Kluyveromyces lactis: one gene and its partners. The protein of the gene in region 1 purifies or fractionates together with the protein of each later gene. This does not show direct contact. Links are inferred from orthologs where the notes say so. Each region holds a gene or a part of one and is shown in the gene's direction. Other genes may lie near its edges.

Region 1 (5,266 bases):
ATATGACCTTGAAGCCCTTATTGAAAGTGTCCTCCAAAAAAAGCAAAATAAGTTTGAGAAGCTTACCTTAGTGGCCCATTCCCAGGGTACCACACAAGCTTTTATGGGACTTGTAAATGGTGAAGAGATCTACAAAAATACAGAGTTCAGATTGAGTGATAAATTAGATAATTTAGTTGCATTAGCACCTGCTGTTTATCCCGGTCCACTACTCGATGAAAAATATTTCGTTAAGTTTATGGCGAAACACATAGATAATCGCTGGGTATTCGGAAACAAATCATTTGTACCAATGATGATGGAGATGAGAAATTTGTTGGCCGGACACAAGATATTCTCATTTTTGTCTTACGTCATGTTCAACTACTTGTTCAACTGGAACGATATTTTATGGGACAGACCCTTGCGTGATAGACATTTCCTATTTTCTCCAGTGCATATATCTGTGAAATTGATGCAATGGTGGTTAAGTCTTAACCCTTTAAAGTCAAGCTTCAAGACTTTCGCCGAAGACATGTTCCCCGACATCAAGACCTGGTTCCCAATACAAAATGAAACAGTAAGTATGGATGAACATTTACACAGAAATCAACATAAACCTTTGCCAGAAAATTGGCCAAAGATTTTACTCTTCACACCCAGGCAAGATAGACTTGTAGACGGAGAAAGATTGATTAATCACTTTATCAACCACGAACCACACTCTGTCTACAAAATCTGGTATATTGATGAGTATTCACATTTGGATGTTCTATGGGCCAGTGACGTTATCGAAAGAATTGGTAACCCAATGCTTGCACATTTGAGAATTCCGAAACCGACATTTGCCAGTTAATTAATACAGATAACTTTGAATCACAGACTAGAATGGAATTTTGACACTTTGTTTCCATTTTGTGCAACCCAACATATAGATATACAGTTCTGCAATCATTACATTTTTTGTAAGATATATAATATACTAATGACACTACTTAAACGGTAAAAAAAGGGTACACAAAGATAATCCCAATACAGCTTTGGAAACTCAAGTACTCAGTGACTGTAGCAATGGCTAAATCATGTTGTTGTTATTTTAATAAGGTCTTTAACTGTCATCTTATATCGTCCTTGTATATTCGGCATAATTTCTTTTTAACAATTTTTCAAGTTATCGAAATGCAAATCTCATCTCATCTCATCGCATCATAAGCAGTGAAAGGGAATGGGAAGAGGAAACCACTGGAACTGTTTCCATATCATAGTTGCTGATTAACTAGCACAAGGTCTACCATATTTAGTGCCAACTGGGGATATTGAAAGAATAGCGAAATGAAGATCAAAACTATCAGCAGAAGTGCCGATGATTATGTGCCGGTGAAGAGCACACAAGAGTCTCAGATGCCTCGTAATTTAAATCCGGCTCTGCATCCATTCGAAAGAGCTAGAGAATATACAAAGGCTTTGAATGCCACCAAGCTTGAAAGAATGTTTGCTAAGCCATTTGTCGGTCAGCTTGGATACGGTCACAGGGATGGTGTGTACACCATTGCAAAGAATTACAATGTATTAAACAAACTTGCTACGGCTAGTGGTGACGGTGTTATCAAGTACTGGAACATGTCAACTAGAGAAGAGTTAAGTTCATTCAAGGCACATTACGGTATGGTTACTGGTCTGTGTGTTACTCCTTCATATTTATCTCCACAAAGAGAAAACTTCATGCTTTCTTGTGGTGACGATAAGACGGTGAAGCTATGGTCAGTGAATTCTGACGACTTTTCCAACGTTAAAGATGATACAAGATTGAATACAGATGAAGGTATCATCAAAACATTCCATGGTGAACATGCTTTCCAATCTTTGGATCATCATAGACAAAAATCGAATTTTGTTACTGGTGGTGCCCAAATCGAACTTTGGGATACAAACAGATCAAAGCCAATATCAAATCTTTCATGGGGTGCGGACAATATCAATCATGTTAGATTTAATCAAAATGAGGTCGACATTTTAGCAAGTACGGGTAGTGATAACTCTGTGGTTCTTTATGACCTAAGAACAAACTCTCCAACACAAAAAATTGTTCAAACCATGAGGACAAACTCTATCTGTTGGAACCCAGTGGAAGCCTTCAACTTCGTAATTGCCAATGAAGATCATAATGCTTATTACTATGATATGAGAAATATGTCCAAAGCTTTGCATGTGTTTAAAGATCATGTTAGTGCTGTTATGGATGTTGATTTTTCCCCTACTGGTGACGAAGTTGTAACAGGCTCCTATGATAAGACAATCAGAATTTACCAAGTTAAACATGGTCATTCGAGAGAAATATATCATACAAAGAGAATGCAGCATATTTTCCAAGTGAAATATACCATGGACAGTAAGTATATAGTAAGTGGTTCAGATGATGGTAACGTTAGACTATGGAGAGCCAAGGCATGGGAGAGATCTAATGCGAAGAGTACACGTGAAAAGAATAAGTTGGAATACGATGAAAAACTTAAAGAAAGATTCAAGCACATGCCAGAGGTCAGAAGAATTAGCAGGCACAGACACGTCCCTAAGGTTGTTAAGAAAGCTCAAGAGATTAAGAAGATTGAAATTGATTCTTTGAAGAGAAGGGAAAGAAACGAAAGAAAGACAAGGAAAGACATGCCATTTTTACCTGAAAGGAAGAAACAAATCGTCGGTACTGTCTTTCAATACGAGGACGACAAGAAATCTAATTCGAATAGATCCAACGATTCCGAAGATGAATAAAATATATGAATTTCTATCAGTTTTGAATTAGATATTTATAAATTTGTAACGTTAATAAGCTCGAAACATGTCTCTTTTTTCTTGAAGTTATAAATCAAGGTAGTTGATCAAGTTTTCCTTTCAATGAAAAATCGTTTTTAGCAAGGAACTATCTTTTACCGAGATTAGCAGATATCTTCTTTATAATTTGAATCATGGGTTGCATGTAACGAATTGAATCCTTTCATATTCTTTTACAGTATTAGATTAGAAGTATAGTTCCATAATAAAAGTGAGAGAAAAAGAAAAAAAAAAAAAAGAGGAAGTGAACACAAGAAGAACCAGCCTTGCTTGCCCAATATAATATGATGAGTATTATAGTACTAATGAGTCTATCAATTTGAAACTATGGCAATGAATATTAGAGAGAGGGAGAGAGAGAGAGAAGAAGATGTGGTCATGCAAAAAAAAAAAAGACCCAATATATGCAATCGTTTGCATAAACAAAGCATAAAATGAATCAGTACCAACTAATTATATTGTCACATCTAAGATTTCCCCAACATCAGGTACCCTCTCTTCAGCCAAGTCTTCCAGAAGTGGAATGATGTCAAGCAATTCATTATCGTGGGCATCTGAAAACCAGGATGAGATTGGAATGGCGTGCTGAGGATGGAATATGTAAGAAGCAGGGGAATTATCCAAGATAATCATATCTGATAGTGGTCTACCAATTTGGGAAAGATTCTTGATATAATTGCCCTCGTAGTTGTAACAGGAGTCTCTGAACAACCTATGATGAATAGTTTTGTCCTTGTCCAATATATCCAACAATGGGTCACCGTAGCGGGACACACTTGCAGTAAACACCACGACTTCGTATAGTTCAGTAATGCGTCTCAAAAATTCGTCGACACCAGGCCTTTTTATCACGTACACATTGTGAACTTGGTTATCGATTTCCACAGGAATAACAAAATCAGCAGTACGTAGATATTTGAAAGAGGAATGGACCAACGTTTCATCCAGGTCTAAGACTAGACATTTCTTACCCTTAAACATATCGGCCTTCGGCAACAACAAGGTATTGCACCCCGGTGCATGGGCCTGATCTGGCTGCAATTGAGACAAATCCAAAGGTTCCCCATCTTCGGGCTCCCCATTTGTCATTTCTACATCGCTAACGCCTTGACTATGAATGCCCTCGGAGTCATCCGCACTACTGGTATGTTCAGTCTCGTGAATCGTGGTCGTGACCTCTGCAGTTGGCTGAGTTGCAGACACTGCGGTGTCTGCAGTTGTGCCAGTACTTGTATCAGATTCAGCGTTATATACCAACAGTGTTTGCTTTTCATCCCCTTTTACATCCACATCGTCATCTTCCTCTCCAACCATGTCAACGTCAACGACATCACTATCAGTATCGTTATTACTAACAGCAGCCGTATTCTTCGACAGCGGACTCTTCTCAACAGGCGCACTTGCAACAGCCGCTACAGTTGAGCTATGCTTGTTCGCCGCATTTTTCTTTTTCAGATGCATCTTGGCTGTAGAATTGGATAACGTAGTATGAATTTCTGATTGTCTTGAATGAGTCGCAGCAACCCCTGGACGTCCACTCTTCTTTGCACTTAGCGTATTCTTGCTCTTACTTTTCTCCGAGCTTGACCCACTAGAACCTTTATTACTATTGTTACTTGACGATGAATTCCTACCCTTCTGTTTCCTAGAGCTATCCGAATCGCTTGAACCACACAATAAAGATGCAATGAATCCCATCACTTTTATTCCTAACAAAATCAACAGCGACCTATAAATAAATCGAGACACTGAGCGAGTGAGAGAAACCAAAAATCACACACTGAGCCCAAAAAAAATGGATAACCGATATTAATCAGATTGGTTTTTCAAACGGATTGATACTGTTATTAATATATGTTCTTTCTTTCTATCTAAGCAAAGAAAGATAGCAAACAAAAAAAACCTAAATACACAAACCAATCAGGCTCCCTGAAACCACTGGCCCCTTGATATAGTACCCGTACACTGACAAATCCCGGTACTTTTCAAGACTTTACTGCCCTTCTGTAAATGGCCTCCAAAAAAAATTAAGTTGCAGTTAAAATAAGAGAGTTAGTCAATGACCAATGTTCTATTCTCAAAATTGTTTAATCTGCAAAAGTTGACTGTTTCTGGTTTTTCCATGCTGAACAGAACATCAAAACTTAAAGAACGAACCAAACGAAGCAAAAAGAATTTTTTCTTTTCCCTGGCACAAGATGGTGCGGGTAACGAGATGTTTTTCACTTGAAAGAGATAGAGGCCGGCTTGAAGATTCACTTCTTAGTTTAACTACTAAAAACACAGCTAGTTCTTCAATGTTAATAAATAAGAATCGTTCAGTTTTTACCTGGATACGGTAAGTTTCATATCCTGATATTAGTGGTGTTTTTACTGTGGTAATTGATCGAGAGTTTACCCCGTAAATACAGGGATCAAGATATATAAAGGAAAAAGGTGAGAGTAGCAATGGATAATG
Region 2 (5,439 bases), on another chromosome or scaffold:
TCCCTGTCCAAGAATGGAACACGAGCTTCTAGACCCCAAGCCATGGTAGATTTGTTAGCACGCAAACAATCAGCCAAGTGCAAGTTCTTAACTCTCTTGACAGATTCGACGTGGAATTCAGCAGCTGATGGAGCTTGTGCGAAGTATAGATAACCACCAAAGATTTCATCGGAACCTTCACCGGACAAAACCATCTTAACACCTTGAGCCTTGATCTTACGAGAAAGCAAGAACATTGGGGTGGAAGCACGGATAGTAGTGACATCGTAAGTTTCTAAGTGGTAGATAACATCGTCCAAAGCGTCTAGACCTTCCTGTAAAGTGAAAGTATGTTCGTGATGGATAGAACCGATGAATGTAGCCACCTTACGAGCAGCTTGTAAATCTGGAGCGTTTGGCAAACCAACAGCGAATGAGTGCAATCTAGACCAGCCAGCAGCATGTAGATGACCTTGTTCGTCAAGCCCAGCCAATTGATGTGGGTCACTGTCATAAACAACTGGATCAAGTTCGGCATTAGTTTTTTCTGTTTCTCTTGCGGCAATAGCAGCAATCAAAGAGGAATCCAAACCACCGGACAATAGAACACCGTAAGGAACTTCAGCCATTAATCTCTTTCTAACAGCCTTTTCCAAACTTTCTCTAACAGCCTTAAAGTCAACTGGGGTGGTTGGAATTCTGGATTCGTCCAACCAGTCAGGAGTGAAATATCTGGTCAATTTGTCAGTTTCAGAGTCGTATACGTGACCTGGTGGGAAAGCAATGATTTCATCACAGTCATCGGTCAAACATTTCAGTTCACTGGAGAACCAAACAGACTTTGGAGAAGCAGAGGATCTACCCATGTAAAGAGTGGTAATACCGATTGGGTCTCTGGCAGCGATGATACGATCCTTCTTAGAATCGTACAAACACCAAGCGAACATACCATCCAAGTGTTTTGGAGCATCGATATCGTACTTTTCGTATAATGGAATGATAGGTTCACAGTCAGACAAAGTCTTGAATGGATAGCTTGCACATTCTTCTCTCAACATGATATGGTTGTAAATTTCACCATTGACGGCCAAAGTGTAAGAACCATCTTCGGAAGTGATTGGTTGGGCACCAGAGTCCAATCCGACAATAGCCAATCTTTCGTGAACTAGAATAGTAGAGTTCTTAACAATGTTACCTGACCAATCTGGACCACGGTGTCTGATTCTCTTGGATAATTGTAAAGCTTTTGGTTTGTAAGCCTGAACATCAGGGTTTCTGAATGAAGCAAATATACCACACATCTTGGGTCCTGTTACTTCGTTATTCTGTATATCTAATTGATAAGAGCGAGTAAAAAACCAATACTAATACAAAACAAAGATCCTAACATAAACATATAAACAATTCTTATTACAAGCGAGCATTAGTTTTCTTGTGATGAGCATCAATTCTTTATACTTTTTCCAAAATTTTTCACCAGAGCTTGAATCGCCGTATTCTTTTTTCTTTCGAGATATTGAAAATGACTCAGTATCAATTGCATATCAAAAGAATATGACAAAGCAGCAGAGAAACGAAAAGTAACGAAGTGAAAATGAAAATTGGTGCCAGATTCTAACTCTGATTCATAGTTGATTCATTTGTTCCCGCTCCGACTTGTCATATTCACGATACCATCGTATCACGGCATTTTTTTCTATCTAATATTTACGTTTACGTTTACAGTTAGTTTAGTTTTTGAAATGAATCGCACAAGGCGATTCATATTAGCAAGAAGCAAGACTCAAACACACAAACTCACATCAAGTCTATACATGGGATGACCTTCCCAAAAAGAATCAGAATTTTATAAAAAGTGTCCCAAATCATTCAAAGAATGTAACAAGATTATAAGGCTTGCGAGGGCACCACATTCTCCATTAAAACCATGAACAGAAAATAATTCCCATCCACGAAAGAATTGTAAGAATTAAAAAAGCGCAAATAGTATCATCGTCTTCTTTTAAAACTTGGAAGGTCATGTGGATTTAAGCCCAAAAAGAGTAATACAAGTAAAGCCTATCAAAGTTACATCTCTTCTACATCACCAATTGTGTCTTGTAATTTCTTGGTTCATAAATCTTTCTCTTATATATGATGAAATTCGGGCTAGATCATTTTATACTAATCGTTGAAATTTGTATGCTGTTAGGGCTCATAGGCTGCCGTGAACTGGAGGATACGCACCCCCTGAAGGAACGAGCATCAGTGTGCGTATTCAAGGTGATGCAGGCAAGACTTGACTGACAACAGAATGGTTTACCACTCTAAATTATATATTTAATGTCGCCATTGATAGCTAGTTTATTAGGAAATGCGATCACGTGATAAGAATAATTTCTTTTCAATTGTCTTCTACATTGCAAGAATCTCTGAAAAATTTGGAATCAAGAGATGAGATGAGATGAGATGAGATGAGATGAAGTCGAATAGGAAACGTTAAGGTAGGATATTCTCACCGTTATAATCTGTTTGATTACTCGCAATAAATAATTGGAATTCACATATAAAAGTTTCCCAAGGATTCAGACAGCGATTAACCAAGATGCTCTCGAAGGAAGAGATTAAGCAAGTTTGGAAGTCTATTAGCACCGGCAATGATAGAAAACATTACAACTCGTTGGTGAACCTAATCCATGGGTACAATGAACTTCTAAAGGAAAACGAATTGTTGCACAATTTGGAAGATGATTACCGTTATATGACCATTGCTTTGAGTCAGATTTTCATCAAACTTTTTGAGCGTGGTCAATTGATGCCTCATCTTGCATCCAATGCCAATGAAAAGAAATTCTTTGAATGGTGTAAGAAACTATATTTAAATTATAAGGTTAAGTTATTGGCTATCATTACATCTTTGCATGAAGTTAACTCGTTGAGTTTAGATTGTTTGGACTCATATATGAAAATGCTTCACCATGAATCGATATATTGGGCTTCGAAACCAAATAGTCCTTTCTTTCCAAATAAGACTTTAAGATCGTTACTAGTGGCTCTTTTCCATTGTAACTTTGAAGGTGATATCGGTTTCAAAGATGGTCAGAGCGAGAATCCCGTGTTTAATCTATTTGTGGAAGCCTATTATAAGAAGAATTTCGATATTCAATTCTACACACAATCAGAACTGATATCGTTGTTACCAGAACTTGATGGCCAAACATCTGACGAAATTTTGATGTCTAAATGGTTGGCTTTATGCAACAACGATGTTCAGGGATCACCAGACTTGGAAATATTCGTATCTGTGCCCCCACAAGCCATCGAGAATGATGCTAAGTTTAAATCCAACCTCGAAACAAATTGGTTGCACTGTCTAAATTTAGCCAACTTATCCAGTAGCCAATATAAAACTGTGCTTTTAGTGCTACACAAGAGAATTATAGTATGGTTCCATCAACCAACAAAGCTTATGGATTTCCTTACCGACTCTTACAACCAAGGTGGTATCGTTTCAATCCTTTCATTAAATGGTTTGTTTGAACTTATGAAAAAATACAACCTAGAATATCCAAATTTCTACTCAAAACTATATCAGCTTCTAACTCCAGAAGTAATGCACGTTAAGTACAGATCAAGATTTTTCAGATTAGTGGACACCTTTCTATCTTCTACACATTTATCCGCACAACTGGTAGCGTCATTCATCAAACGTTTGGCACGTTTATCCGTATCGGCACCACCAGGTGCTATTGTTTCTATAATACCATTCGTGTACAATCTAATCAGAAAGCATCCTACATGTATGATTCTATTACACGATCCAGAATACATCGACTGCGATTCAAAGAAAAGGCAAGAATATCTAGATCCATTCAACAATGAAGAAACCAATCCAGAACTTACAAATGCTCTTTCCTCCTCAGTATGGGAGCTAGAAACGCTAATGAATCACTACCATCCAAACGTAGCCACTTTAGCGAAGATTTTCCAACAACCTTTCCAAAAGTTAAGCTACAACATCGAAGATTTCTTAGATTGGTCTTACGATTCACTTTTGCAAGCAGAAACCAATAGAAAGCTGAAGATCCAACCTGCTCTTGAATTCGAAAGGTTTGAAACAATTTTCGAATCAGGTTCTGATTCAGCATTCCTACCCTTCATAAAATGGTAAATACATAATTTCAAGTAGAAAACTTAAGTAGTTCAATTCCAAATTGAGTACTTTCTTTCACTTTCGCAAATCTCTTCACATTACATCTCATCACATCGCCGTAATATTGAAACATCGAGATGAAAAAAATCAACAAGTCAACATCAAGAAGAGAAAGACTCACATCAGAAAAAACTTTAAAATGGGCTCCGTTTATCGGTCTTGAGGACTTAAAGGCACATACCATACCAGTTGGCTGCTTTTTTACCACTACTATTGAATAAATGACTGAGGAAGTGAAAGCCTGTAATCCAGAGAAAGCCTTAGAGCTGAAGAATGAAGGTAACAAGTTCGTGAAGGAGAAACTGTACGCAAAGGCAGCTGAGTATTATACAAAAGCCATCGAGCATGATCCCGAGAATACGATCCTATATTCAAACCGTGCGTTCACCAACCTAAAGTTGGATAACTTCCAAAGTTCTTTAGACGATGCTAAACGTGCAATTGAATTGGATAATAACAATTTGAAAGCCTATCACCGCAGAGCTATGTCTTACATTGGGCTACTAGAGTTTAGAAAGGCAAGGAAGGACTTGATCATTGTGTTGAAATTCAAGCCTAACGAGCTCACTGCAAAAAATGCATTAGCAATCTGTGATAAAGTCATACAGAAGGAGAATTTTGAAAAAGCTATTAGCGGTGGAGACTCTTCTAAAGTTGATTTATGTCAAACTTTAAATATCAGCTCATTCGATGCAAATGCCGATCTCCTCAAATATGATGGTAAAACCTTGGAATTCGAACAAGTGAAGTCAGATTCTGGGGCCAATGCTGGTGTCAGAGTTAACAATATGAACCAGGAATTCATTTCTTATATGATTAATGAGATTTTCCTAGAAGGTAAAAAGCTTCCAAAGGCTTACGTTGCAGCGATCATTTCTCATGCAGACTATTTGTTCAAGCAAGAAAACAGTGTTGTTGAACTTGATAACAGAGAAAAGCCGGATACAAGAATTTCTGTATGTGGTGACACGCATGGTCAATTTTATGATGTTCTGAACATCTTCAAAAGTTATGGGAAAGTAGGCGGCTCCAATGTATATTTATTCAATGGTGATTTCGTAGACCGTGGATCATGGTCTTGTGAAGTGGCCATTTTATTCTATTCTTTGAAAATCGTGTATCCACAGAACATTTACTTGAACAGAGGTAATCATGAAACCAACAGCATGAATAAAGTGTACGGGTTTGAAGACGAATGCAAATACAAGTACTCCCAGCGCATTTTCGATCTTTTCTCACAAAGCTTCGAATCTCTACCATTAGCCACT
Region 3 (6,304 bases), about 160 kb from region 1:
CAGAATACATTGAATTTCAGCAAAATAAAAAACTATCCATCAACTGTCCATATTGTAGAATGCCGATCTCAGAAGCTAATGTGTTAAAGCTAAAGGAGCCAATTGATGCTGAAAGAGGATATGAACTAATTTCGTTTCATTCACATTTCCAATCGACTAAAATTAAAGCTTTATTGAGGCATCTCAAGCAAATACAAGAAACTTCTCCTGGTGAACAAATAATCGTATTTTCTCAGTTCTCATCATTCCTAGACATTCTAGAAATAGAGCTACGTTCGCATTTGCCAAGAGATCAGGTAATTATTTACAAATTCGACGGACGGTTAGATATGAAGGAACGGACTAGAATCTTGGAACAGTTCCACGATAAGGATTTGAGTTGTATAAAGTTATTACTTTTGTCGTTGAAAACTGGAGGTGTGGGATTAAATTTGACTTGTGCATCAAGAGCGTTTATGATGGACCCATGGTGGTCTCCAGGTATGGAAGATCAAGCGATTGATAGAATACATCGTATTGGTCAGCAGCAAACTGTCAAAGTTGTCCGGTTCATTATCGATAATAGTGTAGAAGAGAAAATGTTAAGAATACAGGAAAGAAAGAGAATGTTAGGGGATATTGTTGAGGGTGATGAGGCAGAAAGGAGACAGAAGAGGATCGAGGAAATCCAAATGTTGTTTCAATAGACTATCATGACATTCAATCATATAGAAGCCTTTTAGGGCTTTGCATTTAAGCTGTTATTTAATTCGTTAATCATCAAGTAGTAGATATTCATCTTTGATCATAAATCCATGGGATACCTTGTTGCGTCTTGCCCATGAACGGATGATATTGAGTCTTATTTCAGAATCACTTAAACAATCAAGATATTTGAGAGCTTGAATTATATCATTGATTCTAAAACCAGTGGCCTCGGAAAGATCCTTCAAAGTGACCTGGGCCACATCTTTCAAATTACCTTCAGTCAACTGCCAAACTATTGAGAAAGACCAAAATTTAAGATAGCCAATTAAACCGAAAGGAGATAGAGGAACTTCAGGACCCGAAATCAGACCCTGACATCTTGATAAAGTGTAGGAAAACTCAATCAAGAGAGTACCCAATCTTCTTCTTTGATAGGGCGGAAAGACAAGAATACATGCAAGGTTATTTTGGTGGTAGGAATATAAGTCTTTTGAAAAAAATGCCATCGGTACTGTAGAATTGTTCTCATACACAATATAGAATTCGAAATGCTTAACTTTGAAGTAGACAGACTTGTTATCAAGAAATAGCTTAGTAAATAGACATAAGCATTGGCAGAAAACTTCATGCTTAGAACCTTTTACCCTTCGTATAGTGTATTCGGGGCTTCTGTATTTTATTCTACCGGGTGGCTTATTCTTATATCGGCAAAAGCACTCATGTGCGATTAACTCTGCTTCATCATCAGTGTACTTGAAACAATATTCACATACGTATAGGGTATCAATCCAATACTGATCTTCAAACTTCTTTTCAGTAGGGCTTTGTTTTGCGGTGTGCTCATTGTTCGATTCCTTGAAGCCCAAGGTCCTCTTATTTCTTCCAAAATAAACATTACTCCCGTACCAAGTTGCAAATCTTTTATTCAAGCCAAATTGGACGTGCCTAATATTAGGCTTGTCAAGAATACCATATATTTCTTCATCCTCTGTTGAGCTGTTGTGCTTATCAGGTTTGGGAACCATTCATTAATGATTTGAAAAGAGGCAAAAAATGCGATTTATCACGTTTCCCAAATTTAATGAGTACTTGAAAACCCAATTAACGGTGGAATCAACTGCTCTTTGAACTTAAATGTACAAAAGATTGCCTATATCTTTGAATTATCAAAACGTTGAAAGCGACTTTCTTTTTTTTTTTTTCATCTTCCTTTATGGCAGAAAAAGCTTTAAAGCTCATCGCATCTCATCGCATCCAAGCTCACCTGCATCTATATATCAAAATCTCGTTGATAACAGGCTGGTAGTCTGAATGTTATAGGCCTCTGTGACATTAACAGTCAAGAGAAGTACCTCGCACGTTAAACGGTCAAAAAATTGAACAACAAACATGGGTACCTATAGGAAGCGCTGGAATGAGAAAGCACGCGCGGGTCAGATGTCTAAGTTGAAGGAGTTGAAGAGAGTAAGGAATAGGCAGTTCACCCGTGCACTTGAAAATTCTTCCGATGCTGATTCTGAAGAAGGTAATTCATCTGAAGATGAACATCATGAATCACCCGATCATCAGGAAGATACGAACGCTGCTGTATTGAAACCCATGACGGAGGAAGAGAAACAAGAGAAAAAGCGTAAATTGGAAGAGCTATTCACACCTAAGGAAACGAAGGTCTCTAGGACGAAGAAAAAAAGGTTAGAGAAGTTCATCGAGCATCAATTGAAAAGAGAGGAGAAAAAAGTTTTGATAGAAAAACTTCAGGACTATAAAATTGATACTAAGCTTTTGACAAGTTCTAAGATTTTGGGACAAGGAAGGCAAACTAAGAGGCAAGGGATTGAAGAAGCCCTCAAATTAGAAAGAAATGGACGTGGTGATGAAACTACCAGGGAAATTCTTTACGATGAAACTGAGGTAAGGGATTGGTATCAAGATCATCCAGAAACTAGGCCCAGTCAGGAAAGCACAGCTGAAAATTGCAATTCGGATAGTGATGAAACGGACCATACCAGTTCAGATCACCCTATTTCGGCAAATACTGGGGGATTTATTGATAATAGACCCAGTAAATTTGGTGGGTCAGGTTTTGGTTTTGGATTCGGTAATGCAAAGGTGGTGAATAAAAGGGCCTCGAAGAAAAGGTATAACTGGAAGCAAAAGGTAGAGCAAGAAGAACGTAGAAGGCGTAAACTGGATGATGATCAGGATTTTGAATCTGACGAAAGTGAATCAGAAGAACATTCATCCACTGCAGAAAGTGAACCTGATGAGAGTGAATCTAATAGTAATGCTGATAGTCACAGCGATGATGAGTCGAGTGAGTCTGACGGCGAGGAAAGATCGGATTCAGAAATAGCGCAGTGCAGAAACGTAAGTTCTTCAGTTGCCCAAGAATTTAAAGAGTGGGCAAATCAGGAAATTAAAAAGCTTGAAGGTAGAGATGTAGAAATGGTTATGCCTTCCTCCAACATCAAGGTCGATAGGACCGAGAGACCTGAAGACTTTGAAGATGGACTCAAAGCAGATGAATTTAATGTGAACGAAAATTCAACACGTAAGGCTTTTTATGTCAAGGTACGGAGATCTGATGCTGTTCAAGCTGTGAGAAGCGCACTACCTGTTTTCGCCGAGGAACATAGAATTATGGAAGCTATCCATCATAATGACGTTGTAATCATTTGTGGTGAAACTGGTTCAGGTAAAACGACACAGGTACCGCAGTTTCTTTACGAGGCAGGATATGGTAATTCGTCCTCAACTGACACGCCTGGGATGATTGGAATAACACAACCTAGAAGAGTGGCCGCTGTCTCTATGGCTGGACGTGTTACTAATGAGATGGGTGATCATGGCGAATATGTAGGATACCAAATTCGGTTCGATTCTTCTACCAAGGATAAAACAAGAATGAAATTTATGACTGATGGTGTTTTGCTAAGAGAGATGATGAACGATTTTAGACTTTCTAAATACTCTTCTATCATTATCGATGAAGCTCACGAGAGGAACATCAATACAGATATTTTGATTGGTATGTTAAGTCGTTGTGTCAGCTTACGTGCTAAGGAGCATGCAACTGATCCGGCTAAGTACAAAAAACTTAAACTAATTATCATGTCTGCCACCTTGAGAGTATCAGATTTTAGTGAAAACCCTACTTTATTCCCTGTTTCTCCACCTGTCTTAAAGGTCGACGCCAGGCAGTATCCAGTGGCTGTACATTTCAATCGTAGAACAGCTTATAACTATGCTGAAGAGGCTTTCAGGAAGACGTGTAAAATACATCAAAGGTTGCCTCCTGGTGCTATCTTGGTTTTTATGACAGGACAGCAAGAGATCACGCACATGGTAAAAAGGTTAAGAAAAGAGTTTCCTTTCCCCAAGAAACATCAAACTCTCATTCAAAATGACCACATACCTACAGTGAAAATAGATGCCAAAACTGCAGATGTAGAAGCTGAAGATATCGACTTCAGTGTCAGAGTTAGAGAGGAACAAGAATTTGACGATTGTTTACTCTCTGATGAGGAAGATATTGAGGACAAAGAAGAGGACGAAGAAGAAGGTTTTGAAGAAACACTTGAAGAAGGTCAGACGGATAGAGATCCACTATATGTTCTTCCTCTTTACTCGCTATTGCCCACCAAAGAGCAAATGAAGGTCTTCCTTGATCCCCCACCAAACTCCAGATTATGTGTTGTTGCTACTAATGTGGCAGAAACATCATTGACCATACCGGGAGTAAGATACGTCGTTGATTGTGGTAGATCAAAGGAAAGAAAGTTTGATGAAAATAATGGTGTTCAGAGTTTCGAAATTGACTGGATTAGCAAAGCTTCTGCTGGCCAAAGAAGTGGTAGAGCAGGGCGTACAGGGCCTGGTCATTGTTATCGTTTATACTCCTCTGCAGTTTTCGAAAGAGATTTTGAGCAGTTTTCTAAGCCTGAAATTTTAAGAATGCCTGTGGAGAGTATAGTTTTGCAAATGAAGAGCATGGCTGTTCATAATATTGTGAATTTTCCATTCCCTACCCCACCCGAAAGACCAGCTTTGATGAAGTCAATAAAGCTCTTACAACACCTAGGTGCACTCGACAGTAATGAAAGAATCACTGATGATGGTAAAGCAATGAGTTTGTTTCCGCTAAGTCCAAGATTTTCTAAAATGCTGCTTGTTGGTAATGAAAGCGACTGTTTGAAATATGTTGTTACCATTGTCAGTGCCCTTTCAGTAGGTGAGCCGTTTTTATCTGAACAAGAGCTTGGTATCATGGATACTGTGCCCAAGACACAAGATGAAGGACAATTAGATGACTATCCTGATCACGAAGCTGAGGAAAGAAAAAGGCTATTGCGCTCCAAGTATGTTAAAAGCAAAATTAGATTTAGTAAGCTTGATAAATTCAGTGATGTTTTCCGTCTTTTAAGTGCAGTATCTGCGTTGGATTTCATTCCAAAGGATCAGCACAGTTCTTTCATGGAAAAAAATTTCTTAAGGGCAAAAACCGTAGAGGAGATTATGAAGTTGAGAAAGCAGGTGATGTTCATCATCAGGTCAGTTACTTCGAGAGAAAATGTAGCTGTAAATGTTAAAGACGAAGACTTGAAGAGCTCGATCCCCACCGATGTTCAAATCAAATTACTCAAGCAAATGATCACAGCAGGATTTATCGACCAGGTGGCCGTTCGCGCAGACCAGTTATTCCCGGAAGACGTTACTATCAACAAAACCAACATTTTCAATATCCCTTATGTTCCAGTCCTTGCTGAGAAAACATCTTCTTTGGATGATATCTTTGTTTATATTCATCCAACCTCAATTCTCAACAATTCTGGCGAGCAACCTCCGAAATACTTGGTTTTCCAATCACTACATGTCAATAAAAATAATGAAAAGGCGAAAACAAGGATGAAGTCTCTTTGTGACATTAAAAGCACGCCATTGGCTAACGTTGCAAGAAAGGGCTCGTTACTCACTTACGGAAAACCAATCACTGGACAAGGTTTGAAACCTATTGATTTATCGCCAACAGAAAGATTCTGCTATGTTGTTCCTAGATTTGGATCTTGCAATGATAGCGACATCAAGATTGGTTGGGAACTCAATCCTATCCCTGTTCATCAAGAGAAAGAGAAAGGTGTATGGACGGTCAAGAAATTCCTTACTCCAAAAGCATTTAAAAACTATCAAGCTTCGAAAAGACCCTAGAACTACACCAGTACAATTTATAGAATTAATTAACTCATATAATACCAATTGCATTGGAATAATTAAAGGCCAATACCTAGCTTGTTAGGCTATGACTGGGTACTGTTGCTGTGACAGGAATCTCTGTAAAAGCTGTCAATGGATGCCAGTTGGATCATGATGTACGGTTTTGATGTTTTTCATAATGAAAACACAGGTTTTGGCGCAGGTTGATCAATAAAGGCTTCTTACATTACTGCTGAATGACAAACTGATGGGCAGTGAGAGAGTACAAGGTCTGCAAACTCTTTTATAGTGGGCTAAAAATAAGTAAACAATGGTAGAGCTGCTAAAAGAGAATTTTTTTCAGAACTTACTAACTGTTTTAAAAGGGTATGTGAATATAAAAACAACACATTTTTCATTCGAATTA
Region 4 (6,309 bases), about 830 kb from region 1:
TGCGAAAAATTTCGAAGCTTTTCCAATTCATCCAGCTTTACCTTATTGATATGATCTAAGTCATCGTTTGACACTCTCGTGAAGCTGTTCTTTTCCTTTGTCTGTCTCTGAAATTGTTGGCGTTTCTTCTTGGAATTTTCTCTCAATTGATCGCTGAGCGACTTTCTTGTAACCAATTCGCCAACTTCTCGATTGACTTGCTCGTTTCTCCTTTGGCTTTCCAAATCTCCAGAACCCTCCTTGATGAACGTTGGGGCTTTCGGGTTATCCGCCATCTGTGATTTGGGATAGTAATCTTTGGCTGTATTAACTCCGTGAGAATATGCAAAGAAAATTCTGTCTGAAACCAATTAGCTAACAAAAAATTGAATTCAAGATGTCTGACATGTTCTGGTGAACGTTCGTTTAGTTTGCCTGGCTTTATTTGTCAGCGCCTCTCTCTCTCTCTATATTGTAAAATTTATTGTTTTTTCATGGAAAAATGAGAGACGTCTGTTTTCAAGTTCGGAAATTAACGCAAGTAAGATTACCCATTCCGTCTGTCTCTCCAAAATACATCCCTCCTTGCCAGAACTGTTTGCAGCATCATTTGTCTACGCTACGGATAACAGTTGCGGTTGTTTATAAGGCGAAAGCTATTAATGACGGAAGATGCTCGGCCCATCCGACCAGTCTGCAGGGTTTAATAGATCCGAAGGGTTTCCGGAGGCTGTTAAGAGCCTTCTCGAACCAGGCAATCTTTTATGTGACGTACTAGGAGGTGGATATTCGATAAAACTTGATGAATAATCATTCAAACAGTAGGAAATTTCCATCTTGTTTGGAAGCATGGCCCTGGGAATTGCCACCGCAGGAGGCTCTGAAACATCGTAAGTCACATGCTTCAGGAGGAATACGCTTGTAGAAGATAATCGCTCTTTGTTTTCTTTCGATGGAGTCCTTTCCTCAAAAGATATTGTATTAAAGATATTTTCTGTAATGTCATCCAGCGGTTCTTCAAGGTTTGACTCCAGTACAACAGGTTTACTAATATTAAGTCTTCTCTTCTTAAAAATCGAGTCTTGTATGGGAGTGGCACTGTTACTGAAATATGCTACTGACAATGACTCAGATTGGAAACCTCTTGGAAATGAGGTCTCAGTGCTTGACGAGTGCAGTTGTATATTCTTAATTCTCATGTTACCACTAGTCGGTGATATTTCGAATGTGGACGGCAATCCATTGGTTAGAAGTGTTGGGATTCGACCAGCGCTATCGTGAGACACATTTGCAGTAGTTTTAAGATCTGGTTGCTTACTTTTTCGTCCTCGCCTTTTCCGCTCTTTCTTATCAGCTGGCACATCAAGATCGTTTTCTTGTGGGGAACCATTATCAAAATCTGATTTCTTGGTATGCATGACTTTGATTTGTTGGCAATAGTTAGAGGGAGATCTTCCTCTTATTATGAGAGGCGGCGTCTTCTCCATTAGAATTGGAACAAACGTCATGTCAGTCTCTTCATCATAATGATCCAATTCATGATAAGGTGATGACTGCTGAATACCGTCATGTCTTCCCTTCACATAGCAGCCTAAAACCACTAAAAGTGAAAACCGTCTATTTTGTTGGCTAGTTTTCTTCAAAGTTATAGAAGAGGCGAACTGTATCCTTTCATACCTTGCTACTTTTTTGATTGGATCCGATGGGTAGTTTGCCAAGACACTCCTTACTTCACATCCTGTTCCAACGTCTTCTTTATGAAGGAAAAAATAGCTATCAAATTTTTTCATCTTGGATTCGTTTCTCACGTTCGATGCATCTCTTATAATCTGGTGCTTCGGCAAATTTGCAGGTGCAATAACATGTATTGGAGGAGCAAATTGAGGGCCTTTATCTCGCTTTGCAGTGTGTTGAACTAGGTTAATCAATTTATCATCTTCCAAACACTTGGCGGCTAATTTGGTAGCGAAGTATTTGATCTCCACACCGTTATCTAAATGATACGCTTGTTTCATGAACTCGATATGATCAGTCCCCGGTGTGTCAAATGAAGTTACCACGGTGAAATAATTTCTTTTATAACCAATCCAATCGTCATCTATGAAATCAAACCCTCGATCAATCCGAGGCTCCAATTTGATTTCTTGAATCTGTCCAAAATCGTTCAATATCTTGTGATTGGGCACCACTGGCGTAAAGCCTGGGCCTATTTTGAACTGCAATGTTGACCTTGGAGCAATACGAACTTTTCTCTTGTCAAAATGACTACTTAATGACCCGTCAGCGTTCCTAAAAGTTTTGATCACGTCCCCGTCAGCATTATCAAGTGTTTCCAAAAATTCGTTCTCATCTATATTGATATTCTCATCGTTCAGATGGTCCAAATCCTCCATCATAGCAAGTTTGATCACATAAAACTATACTCTGTTCCTATTAAAAGAAAATATAGTTAGCTCTCACTCTCCTCCTGGCTATTGCTATGGAATAACCGCCGAGCTTACCTGAATGACCACGAAAAAATAAAACCAAAATAAAACCTAGGAATCGTACGTTCCGTATAAGAGATAACCACAACTGCGCTTGTTCAGGTAAAGAAACAACCTTATAATCGAACCTCGTTCTGATGTCAGTTCTTAACCTCTTATCTTATTCATCGGATCTATTTCATAAGAATATTGCCCTTATTCCTTGTGACACAAAAATACTGGTATTTATATAATGTTAGTTTTTCCCTTTTCGTCAGTCATGAAGAAAACTTTAATTAATACCCATGAAAACTACTACTGAAGTTTAAATATGAATTTAAAATATTAGTCGACATCACATAATGGTGCATTATGCACACGTAGTCATTTCTTGAAATTAGCCGCCGAAATTACACTGCGCATGAAATTCATGCGGGTAACAGTATATTTTCATCAAATAATTCCGGGTAAGTAGTATCTTTTCTTTTCTCTGCCTAATTTTTTTTTTTTTTTTTCATTGTCTTTTTACTATTTCATCGTATTAGGTAGGAATTTTATTTCGAGATGAGATGAGATCAAATGAGATGAGGTGGTTTGCTGAGAAGCTATCTGAGTATTACGAGACGTTTATTTCTCCCCAAAATACCTGATTACTGTACTTCGTTACTACAAAAAAAATCATTAAAAACACTAACTCTTCCCAACGGTCGAACTTCCAGCGAAACGTAACTGTCATTGTTTGTTGTTAAAGAGTGTGTTCTTAAAACTTTAAACCAGAAGTTAGATTACGATGGGTAAAAAAGCTATTGATTCTCGTATCCCAGCTCTCATCAGAAATGGTGTTCAAACAAATCAGAGATCATTTTTCGTTATCGTTGGTGACAATGCTCGTAACCAGCTACCGAACTTGCACTATTTAATGATGAGTGCTGACCTCAAAATGAATAAATCCGTGTTATGGACGTATAAGAAGAAACTCTTGGGTTTCACTTCACACAGGAAGAAGAGAGAAGCAAAGATTAAGAAAGAGATCAAGAGAGGTACCAGAGAGATAAATGAACAAGATCCTTTTGAAACTTTCATCTCTAACCAAAACATTCGATACTGTTATTATAAGGAAACTGAAAAAATTTTGGGTAACACTTATGGTATGTGTATCCTACAAGATTTTGAAGCTTTGACTCCAAATTTGCTAGCAAGAACCATCGAAACCGTTGAAGGTGGTGGTATCATTGTTATCATGTTAAAGTCCATTTCCTCTCTAAAACAGTTATACACTATGACTATGGATATCCACTCTCGTTATAGAACGGAAGCTCATGACGATGTCGTGGCAAGATTCAACGAAAGATTTATCTTGTCCTTGGGTTCGAATGAAAACTGTTTGGTAGTAGATAGTGAGTTAAACGTTTTACCTATATCTGGAGGAAAAAACGTAAAACCACTTCCACCAAAGGATGATGAAGAAATTTCACCAAAAAATCAAGAACTAAAAGAATTGAAAGTGTCTTTAGAAGATGTTCAGCCTGCGGGATCATTAGTTGCTCTTTCAAAAACGGTTAATCAAGCTCATGCAATCTTGACCTTCATTGATGCCATTTCAGAGAAAACTTTAAATTCAACTGTAGCATTGACGGCAGGTAGAGGTAGAGGTAAATCAGCTGCTCTAGGTATTTCTATTGCTGCTGCTGTATCCCATGGTTACTCCAATATCTTTGTAACATCTCCTTCCCCTGAGAATTTGAAGACTTTATTTGAGTTTATTTTCAAAGGATTTGACGCTCTAGGCTATCAGGAGCACATTGATTATGATATCATTCAGTCCACCAATCCAAGCTTCAACAAAGCCATAGTCAGAGTAGACATCAAGAGAGAACATAGACAGACCATTCAATATATTATTCCAAATGATTCTCATGTGTTGGGACAGGCAGAACTTGTTGTCATTGATGAAGCTGCCGCAATTCCACTACCACTTGTAAAGAAGCTTTTGGGTCCGTACTTAGTGTTTATGGCATCCACTATTAACGGTTATGAAGGTACCGGTAGATCTTTGTCTTTGAAATTGATTCAACAGCTAAGAACTCAATCCAACGGTACTGGCCGTGAAGATTCCGAAACAGCACTTGTTTCCAGAGATTCAAAGAAACAAGAAGTTCAAACAAGTGGCCGTTCTTTGAGAGAAGTTGTCTTAGATGAACCTATCAGATACGCTCCTGGTGACCCAGTTGAAAAATGGTTGAATAAATTACTTTGTTTGGACGTTCAACTAATCAAAAATCCAAGATTTGCTGCTAGAGGCACACCTCATCCATCTCAATGTAATTTATTCATCGTCAATAGAGATACTCTATTTTCTTATCATCCTGTTTCTGAAAATTTTCTGGAGAAGATGATGGCTCTTTATGTCGCATCGCATTACAAGAATTCTCCTAACGACTTGCAATTAATGAGTGATGCACCTGCTCATCAACTATTCGTTTTATTGCCTCCCATCGATCCAAAAGATGGCGGCAGAATACCTGATCCCTTAGTGGTCATCCAGGTCGCATTGGAAGGTGAGATCTCGAAGGATTCTGTCAGAAATTCTTTGGCAAGAGGTCAAAGAGCTGGTGGTGACTTAATTCCATGGCTAATCTCACAGCAATTTCAAGATGAAGAATTTGCCGGTTTGAGTGGTGCCCGTGTTGTTAGGATTGCAACCAATCCGGAATACGCCTCTATGGGTTATGGGTCTAGGGCTCTGGAGTTATTGAAAGATCATTTCGAAGGTAAATTCACCGATTTGAATGAAGATACGGTACAAAAGGACTACACAATCAAGAGAGTCGATGACAGGGATTTGAAGAAAGCAGACCTCTTGAAAGATGAAATCAAATTAAGGGATGCAAAGACGTTGCCACCATTGCTTCTGAAACTCTCAGAACAAACCCCTCACTTTTTGCATTACTTAGGTGTTTCATATGGTTTAACAAAATCTTTACATAAGTTCTGGAAAAACAACGGATTTGTCCCAGTTTACTTACGTCAAACAGCGAATGATTTGACTGGTGAACATACATGTGTTATGGTTAAAGTTCTTGAAGGTCGTGAATCAAAATGGCTGGCAGAATTTGCCAAAGATTTCCATAAAAGATTCTTGTCTTTATTATCGTTCGACTTTAAGAAATTCACTGCCATCGAAGCGTTAAATGTCATTGAATCTGCTAAGAAGGGTGAAACACTAGACCAAGACTCGGAGGGCAGATCGTTCCAGAATAAGGTTTTAACAAGGGACCAATTGGATTCCATCTTTTCTCCATTCGATCTAAAGAGGTTAGAAAGCTATGCTAACAACTTACTGGATTATCATGTCATTGTTGATCTTCTACCAATGATGGCATTGCTATACTTTAGTGGAAAGCTGGGTGACGGTGTATCATTATCAAGCGTACAATCGTGTATACTACTTGCAATTGGTTTGCAACACAAGGGCATTGATGACATAACGAAAGAGTTGAACTTACCATCCAATCAAACTATTGCCATGTTCTCCAAGATTATCAGGAAATTCACCAATTTCTTCAGGGAAGTTTTAAGCGAGTCTATTGAAAAAACCTTACCTCAAATCAAGGACCAAGAAATTGCCGAAATGAATGGCGAAGAAGTGTTGTCTTACAATGCTGCCGAAGTCATTGACAAAATGGAAGATGACCTTGAAAATGCAGGGAACGAAGCTATCAGCGCAATGAGAGAAAAGCAGAAAGAATTGATCAATTCCTTGAACCTAAATAAATATGAAATTGATGAAACTGGCGAGGGCTGGGAAGAATCTTCCAAAGAATTGTCAAAAGCTGTCAAATCCCAAGGAACTGTGGCCATCAAG

The links.
Region 2: the proteins of SOF1 (region 1) and NOC4 purify together in Saccharomyces cerevisiae (affinity purification with mass spectrometry; 7 studies listed by BioGRID, with this or other methods). This does not show direct contact. The link is inferred for Kluyveromyces lactis from reciprocal best matches to the Saccharomyces cerevisiae genes SOF1 and NOC4.
Region 3: the proteins of SOF1 (region 1) and ECM16 purify together in Saccharomyces cerevisiae (affinity purification with mass spectrometry; 4 studies listed by BioGRID). This does not show direct contact. The link is inferred for Kluyveromyces lactis from reciprocal best matches to the Saccharomyces cerevisiae genes SOF1 and ECM16.
Region 4: the proteins of SOF1 (region 1) and KRE33 purify together in Saccharomyces cerevisiae (affinity purification with mass spectrometry; 3 studies listed by BioGRID). This does not show direct contact. The link is inferred for Kluyveromyces lactis from reciprocal best matches to the Saccharomyces cerevisiae genes SOF1 and KRE33.

The regions. Positions count from the first base shown.
Region 1 is NC_006042.1:1,438,299-1,443,564, forward strand, and holds SOF1 (rRNA-processing protein SOF1), read left to right. Parts: upstream 1-1,311; coding exon 1,312-2,748; downstream 2,749-5,266. Other genes in the region: KLLA0_F15576g (uncharacterized protein), read left to right, coding at 1-835; PSR1 (phosphatase), read right to left, coding at 3,262-4,506; POM34 (Pom34p), read left to right, coding at 5,257-5,266. UniProt on the Saccharomyces cerevisiae protein: Required for ribosomal RNA processing.
Region 2 is NC_006038.1:951,556-956,994, forward strand, and holds NOC4 (ribosome biosynthesis protein NOC4), read left to right. Parts: upstream 1-2,563; coding exon 2,564-4,129; downstream 4,130-5,439. Other genes in the region: ASN1 (asparagine synthase (glutamine-hydrolyzing) 1), read right to left, coding at 1-1,280; PPT1 (protein serine/threonine phosphatase), read left to right, coding at 4,393-5,439. UniProt on the Saccharomyces cerevisiae protein: Involved in nucleolar processing of pre-18S ribosomal RNA and ribosome assembly. Has a role in the nuclear export of 40S pre-ribosomal subunit to the cytoplasm.
Region 3 is NC_006042.1:1,595,669-1,601,972, reverse strand, and holds ECM16 (ATP-dependent RNA helicase ECM16), read left to right. Parts: upstream 1-2,076; coding exon 2,077-5,892; downstream 5,893-6,304. Other genes in the region: DNA helicase RAD5, read left to right, coding at 1-686; SAS2 (histone acetyltransferase), read right to left, coding at 753-1,712; RSC58 (Rsc58p), read left to right, coding at 6,209-6,264. UniProt on the Saccharomyces cerevisiae protein: Probable ATP-binding RNA helicase. Required for 18S rRNA synthesis. May play a role in restructuring of the pre-rRNA.
Region 4 is NC_006042.1:2,271,802-2,278,110, reverse strand, and holds the start of KRE33 (ribosome biosynthesis protein KRE33), read left to right. Parts: upstream 1-3,234; coding exon 3,235-6,309. Other genes in the region: FYV6 (Fyv6p), read right to left, coding at 1-275; transcription factor NDT80, read right to left, coding at 639-2,375. UniProt on the Saccharomyces cerevisiae protein: RNA cytidine acetyltransferase with specificity toward both 18S rRNA and tRNAs. Catalyzes the formation of N(4)-acetylcytidine (ac4C) at positions 1280 and 1773 in 18S rRNA.